Bombyx mori: one gene and its partner. The protein of the gene in region 2 purifies or fractionates together with the protein of the main gene of each other region. This does not show direct contact. Links are inferred from orthologs where the notes say so. Each region holds a gene or a part of one and is shown on either strand. Other genes may lie near its edges.

Region 1 (4,429 bases), on a different chromosome or scaffold from region 2:
AGATATAGTTCTAAGGTCTCAGTATAGTCACAACGGCTGCCCCACCCTTCAAACCGAAACGCATTACTGCTTCACAGCAGAAATAGGCGGGGCGGTGGTAATGTTTCCAAGATAAAATGAAAAATTCAAACTTTCTACCGAAATGTTGAAATTAGTGTCTTACCTTGTTCTTTGATGGCTTTTACTGCATGAGAAATTCCAAGCCAAGGACTGGGTAAATCCAAAAACACGGCATCCGCTTTCCCATTCAATTCTTCAGAAAAGCCGTCTCGTATGATGTCTCTGTGTTGCGCCTAAAACATTTTTAACTACCTACAGATTTTTCGACTTTTTTCTCTTCAGTTGCTTGTTAATCATTTGGGTAAAAAATTCAAGGTCCTGGCTTATCTATACATATACATAAAATTGGAGTGTCTGTTTGTAATATTGAAATAGTCTCTTTTTACTACATGCATAATATGAATATACGGTACATACACCAAAATAACATTTTTTTAAATTTTATTCTGTCTGTCTGTCTGTTTGTTCCGGCTAATCTCTGGAACGGCTGGACCGATTTTGACGGGTCTTTCACTGATAGGTAGCTGATGATATAAGGAGTAACTTAGACTACTTTTTTTGGACTAACTTTTCCCCGAGGCTTCACCCGGCTAACCGCGGGTAACATCGCGGGACTCAGCTATCAATAATAAAATTTAATGTTTCCGAAACGAAGCGAGGGCGGGTCGCTAGTTATAGAATAAACACATAAAATTACAATGAGGAAGAAATGGAATTGAGATGAAGGAAACTAGATATACATGAGAATAAAATAAATATGACATTGAAATTTACTTCAAAAATTTTGTGATTTTTTTATTGTAAATTGTAGGACTAAGGTTTGACAAAGTGAATACTATCCATAATAATTTAAAAGATATGTAGATTAGATGTATAGAATAGATAGCTAATATTTCAATTAAAAATCTCATAGATAATTCCACCATCTATTATATACTATGAAATCGAAACAAAAAAGACCTTACAAAAAACTTTGTATTAAGTGTTAGTAGTAATTATTTTGATTCTTTAACAATTATATTTCATATTTGCTTAGCTCAGTCTCAGATGTAACTTAAATTTCACTGCATTTTCTTTATACAGCCTATTTTATTATTTACACTAAAAATGTAGAGTACAATAGTTAATAAACTCACAGTAACAAAGTCGGCAACATCATGAGCCTCAAACTCTTCTCTAGCAATTTTGGATCTGTGCTCATGAAAATCAAAAGTGTAAACATGCCCTTCTGGCCGCACGCGACGTATGAGTGCATGAGTTAAGGAGCCACTACCTGTACCTGATAAAATAATGTAGGCATTAACATAGAGTTATGTACTGTTTAAGATGTGGTTTGTCATTAACATGTCTACAGACATTATGTTAAGGGACAGTTATTCTCAAAGTTCATTTAATCAAAATTAATCCTAAGAATTCTGTCTAGGGTGGAATTCTATATTGCTTTAGGGTTGCGAATATTATAACTATCATATTTAAATCAGATGACATGTGTTGTTCATGATCTGATATGATAAAAGGGATCACTCTCCAAAAGGCATTGTTTTAGAATGTCAGTTAATCAAAATTACCAAATCGGAACTTTAAGAAAACTACAAGTATACAACTCACCAGCTTCGATGACAACACAGCCAGGAACTAAGTCCAATTGGAACAGGATCATGCTTATGTCAGGCGTGTATATAATTTGAGTGCGGTGAGGCAATGTTAGGGACCACATCTCAGGGGTTGGCTGTAGTATGTGTCCCCAGCCCTTTGATAGTTCTATCTGTTGATATGCTTTAATTATGAGATGATTTGCTTCTATGTGGATATGTGCATTTTCCATGTAATGCACAAAATATATGAATTTAAACCATGTTCGTTTATTGTTTTGACTTAAAATATTTCTTTTGATAATTTCCAAGTAAGTGATTTGAAAACAGCAATAACATGTTGCAATAATAAACAGTTTTGCTATTCCAAAGTCAGTAAATAATTCATTTTCGCATTATTTTTATTATTATCTATGTAAGCCAACCTAATGGTAAGTGCTTATAATTGCTCGTGGAGATCAACAATGCCAAGTTACTGCCTATTGCTCCATTTACTCTGTTACATATAAATAGGTTTACCTCTTTGACAACATTTTAGTTAATTATGTATCACAAATATTAAAATTTTTGATATTTCTTTATTTTAGCTTTTTCACAATTGCAACTTATGAAAACTTTTTACTAGTAGTAGGGCATGGAATCGGAGGCATGCACAGGCAGATATCATCTTCCCATCTATCTGACTTCCAGTTTAAAGGTCAGAGTAGCTATTTCATAATACAGTTGAGATTTTGACCAGATACTTTAAATTGCTTGTAGTAATTGATAACTGTGGGCTTCTGTAATAATTAACCTATTTGTTATGTAGTCGGTTAGGTTATGTAGTTATTATCAGAAATATTAAACTATAAATGAAATGTAGCGTTCGGTATTAAAAATAATTCTAATACATACCCGACTTCCATACTGTATACCAATTAAGTTCCTTACTTTTAAAGCACCGAAAGGTGTTTGGAAGACATTCTCAATCGTTTCACCTTTCTTATTTTTAACTTCAGTCTTAACATCTATTGCATATAAATTGTTACTAAGGTATAAGATCACTGTATCTCCTTCATCTACTTTATCCTTATAATTTCTAAAACTCATTTTAAGTCAAATTTTCTTAACTATTTATGAAATTCAAAACTAATAAGTTTGTAAACAAACCACGAGGTCTGTCATTTAGTTTTGACAATCGACGTTCTGTTTTTCCTATGACAACCAATGTTCCCGAAAAATGATCAACATTTTAATTTCGAGTTCTACGGATTTTTGCTATTAAAGTATTTTAATTTAAATATTTTAATCAAATTTTGAAATTTCGACGAAACACCGATTAAACCAAGAATCAATAAAAATATTAAAATTGCTTTAAATGGAATTAAACGGAATCAGTTCAACATTTCAAAATGTCTATTTTTTTGACAGGAAAAAAAGCGCGGGAAACTTCGAATGTGCTGGTCGTTTATCTATAATTAAAATTAATTTTTGATGTTAATTGGATCAGTTGGGTAATATAGTATTAATATTTTAGTATATTTGTATCTATTTAATCCACGTTTTATTATTTTCTTCGTTTGATTTGGTAAGTTATTCTTATAATTTCTTAGATTGTATTAATGTTTGATCCGGACGACCCTGGGGGCTACGGCCCCCAGGTGTCGAATGAAATTACTATTGATTTTAATTCTGGAATAGATACTGAGGGATCTGTACTAGATTCCGATTGCTCTAACCAAACTAGAACTAACTCCAAAAGAAAAAGATCACATGCTAGTAAGATCTGCAAGCATTGCAACAAGAAAAAAAGAAAACATCTTAAATCTGCTATTGATAGTTGTGAATCAGACTGTAGATGTGATTTAGCCCCTCCTGCAACCATTGATACCCCAATGCAGTCAAATTCTCAATCGATAATTAATGCAAATTCAGCGTCTCAATCTTCTACTGACAACAAAAAGCGGACACAGCAGTCTATAGGTAGAATTCTTTACCAGTCGTCAGATGCCTCGCCTTTTATAGTCCATGTTCAAAAAATACAACAAAATCCAAATGATAACTCCTCTATCCACCCAATTTCATTTGGGCAGTTTTTAAAAAAAAATTCATTTAAAAATATTGTAAATGGTAGCCTGAAGCGCATTGGTCGAAACAGAATTTTACTTGCGTTTAGCCATTTTGAAGATGCTAATGCCTTCCTACATCATCCTGCAGTAATTAAGAATAATTTTAAAACTTTCATTCCGACTAATAATGTAACACGTATGGGTGTAGTAAGAGGAATTCCAACGGACTGGACAGAAGAAGAGATTTTAAAAAATATAAATGTTCCATTTGGATGTGGACCTATTCTTAAAGTAAGAAGATTAAATAAAAAACAAATTAATAATGGTAACACTAATTTTATTCCAATTGAAACAGTAGTGCTCACCTTCGATGGCCAAGTCTTACCAAAACGTGTATATTTATGTTATAATTCTTTACCTGTTGATCTGTACATATACCCAACTATTCAGTGTTTTCAATGCTGTCGATATGGTCACATTAAAACACAATGTAGGTCTTCTCCCCGTTGTTTTAAATGTGGTAATGGCCACTCAGGGGACAGTTGTAATATTGAAGAGGAAAATGTCATATGTTGCCTTTGTTCTGGATCACATTTCGCCACTAGCCGCAAATGCCCTGAATTTTTTAGACAAAAATCCATCAAAGAATCTATGGCCAAAAGTTGTCTATCATATGCAGAAGCCCTGAAATTACATCCTCCTGTTAGTAGATCATATTCAGATGTTCTG
Region 2 (4,515 bases):
ACCTACTCGTTTAATGTTCTCTTTAATATAACTCGGTTATATAATCCAGTCACAGTGACACATTTCTTTATGTTGCAAATATTTCGGCATGCTTTCTGCTTTCGGCTGTGTAATCTCGTCGACCAACCTTTAGACCAAAGAAAGACAGTATCCGTGATATGCGGGGAAGATACGGTCCTGGGTTACAATGGCTTGCGGCCTGTTAAGGGTCTTATTACGCTTCAATGCTTTCGAAGTCACGCTCTTGAGACAGGAGGTCTAAATCTCAGTTATGTAGTATAACGGCAGACCTATGCCTTTAAACCCGAACGCATAACTGCCTTATGCTAGAACTAGACAAGGCACCATAATCTACCCGTGCGGCCATACAAATATCCCCTGTTATAATTTGTTGTTCTTGATTTCCAATAGGTACCTACAGTACTTAGATTATATGAAGTTATTGTTTTAACAGGTGTGATGTTGTATCTACCTGAATATAAGGTGCAGTTTCCAAATTTTAACATCTTTTACTTTTATCCTAATTATGTTCCTTTACCGGAGCATTACCAAATAAAAACTCAGGAGAATAGTTCACTAATAATTTATGAGGTAAGAAAAAAATCTCGATACTGTTGTGCGTAAAGATCTAACCGTCGTAGATGATAAGAATTTCTAAGATATTTTAGCAAAGCATAAATTAGCTTACTTTTTTTCGTGCCCCCTATCATTTGACCATCATCATCGATATTTATCACCGTCCGAAGAGATTTTTTCCGGTTTCTATCCGTTAACTGCAGTTCGTCCCATTGGTGTTAGTCTCATTTTGAGCCGCGAACTTGTTCTCCTATCTACAGCAAAAAAAACCTTAGGCAGGTCAGTATTTTTTGTGTTAAATTATTTTAAACTGTCTTATTTATTATGTATTTTTTTTACAGTATGTCGGGTTGATGGTTGTCTTATTAGCTCAATATTTAATCTCTGGTACATCGAAAGACGTTGAGGACACTATAAAAATAGAACGGAAACTGAAAGAAGCTTATATCACATACACAGGATAATGCGTTTGAAATCTACTTGACAAAATAAATACTGTATTAAATTTCTTGTTTTGTTTGAACTGCATTTCTGTATTTCCGAAATGTACACATACAAATACAAAAAGAGCTGATTACGTATAAAGAATAAATACAATTTCCAAATGTAATTATTCTGTGCTTTACAAGATTCATACCACCAAATAATAATTTAAGGGAACTTACCGCAAAAGATGTGCGTGGCCATCTCTATTATAGTAAGTTTCCACTAACCATAATAGAGACATTACCTTAAAAACGTTTTATTGTATTCAATAGAATATCACCTAAATTGACATTGCGTAACACAGTTACAAAAACATTCGAATTGAAAAATTCCCCCTATTTTTAGCAAAGTCTGCTAACTATACAAATAAATCTGATTTAACAACTTTCGCTTGTGTTTCACACGACAGATATGGTTTCAGCCTTCGTTACTAAAGATTTGGCTATATGGGTAGGGATTCATTAGCCTATTCACTGGACGAATCAAAAAAGTTTGACGTTTGTCTGTAATCTATGTTTTTATGTAAACTTTGAAGACTTTATTGCTCAATGCTCACGGGAAAAGTTTCAAAAATGAGTGACAATATGATTAAAATAGGAGACTATATTGTAATCCAAAAGCAGAATTTCAAAAAGCTTCACAAGTATAATAAACCTAATTCTACTATTACCGTAGGAAGAGACAGTATTAATTTAAATGGCATTGAGGGGTGTCGATACTTTTCTACTTTCAAAATGATAAGTAAAAGTAACAAAAAAGCCAGGGAATACACAGTGGAGCTAACTGACGAGGTGGTCAATCTAAAAGATGAGATTGAGATAAAATTATCTGGTAGTGATAATAGAAACATCGTTGATGATGGACTCTCACAGAAACTGACAGCTGCAGAAATCGAAGATCTGAAGAATGACGCTAATAGGGCTTCAGATATTATAGAATCTTTAATTACTAATTCAAATACCTTTCACAATAAAACAGAGTTTTCTCAGGAGAAGTATTTAAAGAAGAAAGAAAAGAAATATTTTGAATATTTACAAATATTAAAACCTAACCTAAGAACGATAGCAGAAATCATGTATAAATTAGAACCTGGTAAAGTTCAAAATTTAAGAATAGACACTTTGTCACAGATTATTACAACTGTGAATATTTATTGTGAGGGAAATCATTTATTATATGACTCTGGATCTAATGGTTTAGTTGCTGCAGCTTTATTAAGTTCTATTGGTCAAAATACTAATGGTAGACTAGTCCACATGCACCCCGGCAACATGTCTCAGAAACAAGCTCTCTTAGCTATGAATTTTCCAGAAGAACAACTTAAGAGATGTATTTCTGTTAATGTTTATTCTGCATTAAGACAATTTTATCAAGGTTGTGATACAAATTCCAATGAAAATATAAAAGAAATTCCTATCACAGAGTCAAATCAATTAAAAAGAAAATTAGTAGAAAATGACAATGAACCTAGAAGAAAAATTGCTAAACCTGATGAAGAAGTATCTGAACCAGTAATTGATGAATTAAAGGAAAATAGTAACAAAGGTGATCCAAAGATACCAAAATGGCATTTCGATAACATTTATGCTGCACAAATTCTTGAAAAAAAATTGGATTCATTGGTTATAACTTGTAAGGAAGATCCTCAAAATATATTTCTTGAATTAGTTAATTTTATCAAACCTGGCCGACCATTTGTTATTTACTATAATGTATCAGAGCCATTACAAAATCTATACTTAGCTTTAAAATCACAAAGTAATGTTGCAGCATTAAAACTCACAAGCAACTGGATGAGGAATTACCAGGTAAGCTTCTTTATTTTAATTTTGTTATTATTGAACATCAACAACCATATAATTTATCAAATATGTAGAAAAAATCAGTAAGTACCAATTAATTTCACCTCTTAAACATAATTATGCTCAAGTAAACTAATAGAAATTAAGTAAATCACATTATACTGTGAACAGACATGGTAAACTTACTTAATACCACTAATAGAGTGCATGGCATACTGAAAACAATTTGATTAAAGATAAAGACCCTTAATCTATAATCAAAAACTATTTCCAATCATTTCATAATATAAGAAAATGCAGCAAAAAGAAAAATTATACTTAAATAATACACACTGACTGCACTAATAAAATAGATGATAAGCCTGAATCCAAGCAATCATCAAACTTGCATCAAACTTTATTATGCATATCTGTATATTGTCTATACTATTTATTTATAACTTTTTGTAGGTAAGGGATCACACAAAAACTGACAAATTATTGATAATTATAACATAAAGGATACTACTTGTATGTGTAATTATCTTTTTTTGGTGGTCTAAACATGTCATTCAAGGTCAATATCATCAACAGTTGTTACACTGATAATAATATAAACATCATTGATGGCTTATGATTGTCTGGTTATTTATCTGCCTGTTGGAATATATAAAACAATGTTCTCTAAGATGTTAATATTTCCACTGTTGTTCCCACAAAAAAAATTTTTTTCTAGCATGTCTAACAGCTCATTTTATCTCTGAAAGTCCCAAACTTTTAAATATTAATAAAATTTTCATTTGTTTTCACATTGTAGGTTTTGCCAGAACGAACACGTCCAGATGTTATTATGAATGGTGCTAGTGGGTATTTGTTATCAGGATATGTACTTAAATGAGAATTATGTTTGTTACAACTTTATATTAATAAATTTTTATACAAAAGTATTTTTTTTAAAAGAAACACCTCTTTTGATACAAAATTTATTTAAATATTCTCAAGTGATCATAGATGATAGGGATTCATTTTTGTCTAAATGCATCAATTCAACACTGACATGCAATGAAGTGCAGTTGCTGATTTTATTTTCCATAATATTAAAGTTTAAAAGTAAAATAAAATTATCAACCAAGTTAAATAAAATTGTTCTAAGATCTTAAATTTTTATTACTAGAATGAAAATAAGCATGTATGATTTTAAATGTAAAAATTGCACAGTACAGTAACAAAGGTAAGTGAAGGAATGTAAATCAGTCAATGTTAACTATGCATTTGATGTTATTTATAAATGTAAATTGAACAGTGATTTATATTCGAGAGGAACTTTGTTGATGTGTTGCATAATTTTGATGAGATTTTCAAATTAATTTGGCACTTAAAATGTTTAGTTCCTTTTACTATAAGCTACAAAAGCATGGCTGTGTTAAGCTATAAAAAAGCTGCATTTTTTTTCTATAAACATATTTTTGGATTTCATCCAAATACCCTATCTCGAATGTGATTAATGATATTTTAATGACATATATTCTATAAATGGTAATTTATTGTCAAAGCTTATTTTGGACGTGGATTCTTTCCTAAAATAATTTACAAACTTATGAGAATCATATTTAACTGTAGTATGTATGTTGTAATTGCCATTTCTATAGAGGAATGTAGTGATTTATGATAT

The links.
Region 1: the proteins of tRNA (adenine(58)-N(1))-methyltransferase non-catalytic subunit TRM6 (region 2) and tRNA (adenine(58)-N(1))-methyltransferase catalytic subunit TRMT61A purify together in Homo sapiens (affinity purification with mass spectrometry; 4 studies listed by BioGRID and IntAct, counting the BioPlex papers as one, with this or other methods). This does not show direct contact. The link is inferred for Bombyx mori from reciprocal best matches to the Homo sapiens genes TRMT6 and TRMT61A.

What each region holds. Positions count from the first base shown.
Region 1 is NC_085113.1:5,808,655-5,813,083, reverse strand, and holds the start of tRNA (adenine(58)-N(1))-methyltransferase catalytic subunit TRMT61A, read right to left. Parts: upstream 2,983-4,429; 5' UTR 2,742-2,982; coding exon 2,547-2,741; intron 1,826-2,546; coding exon 1,669-1,825; intron 1,340-1,668; coding exon 1,197-1,339; intron 294-1,196; coding exon 164-293; intron 1-163. UniProt on the Homo sapiens protein: Catalytic subunit of tRNA (adenine-N(1)-)-methyltransferase, which catalyzes the formation of N(1)-methyladenine at position 58 (m1A58) in initiator methionyl-tRNA.
Region 2 is NC_085121.1:7,674,019-7,678,533, forward strand, and holds tRNA (adenine(58)-N(1))-methyltransferase non-catalytic subunit TRM6, read left to right. Parts: upstream 1-1,552; 5' UTR 1,553-1,610; coding exon 1,611-2,870; intron 2,871-3,660; coding exon 3,661-3,741; 3' UTR 3,742-3,787; downstream 3,788-4,515. Other genes in the region: anoctamin-5, read left to right, coding at 455-591, 918-1,040. UniProt on the Homo sapiens protein: Substrate-binding subunit of tRNA (adenine-N(1)-)-methyltransferase, which catalyzes the formation of N(1)-methyladenine at position 58 (m1A58) in initiator methionyl-tRNA.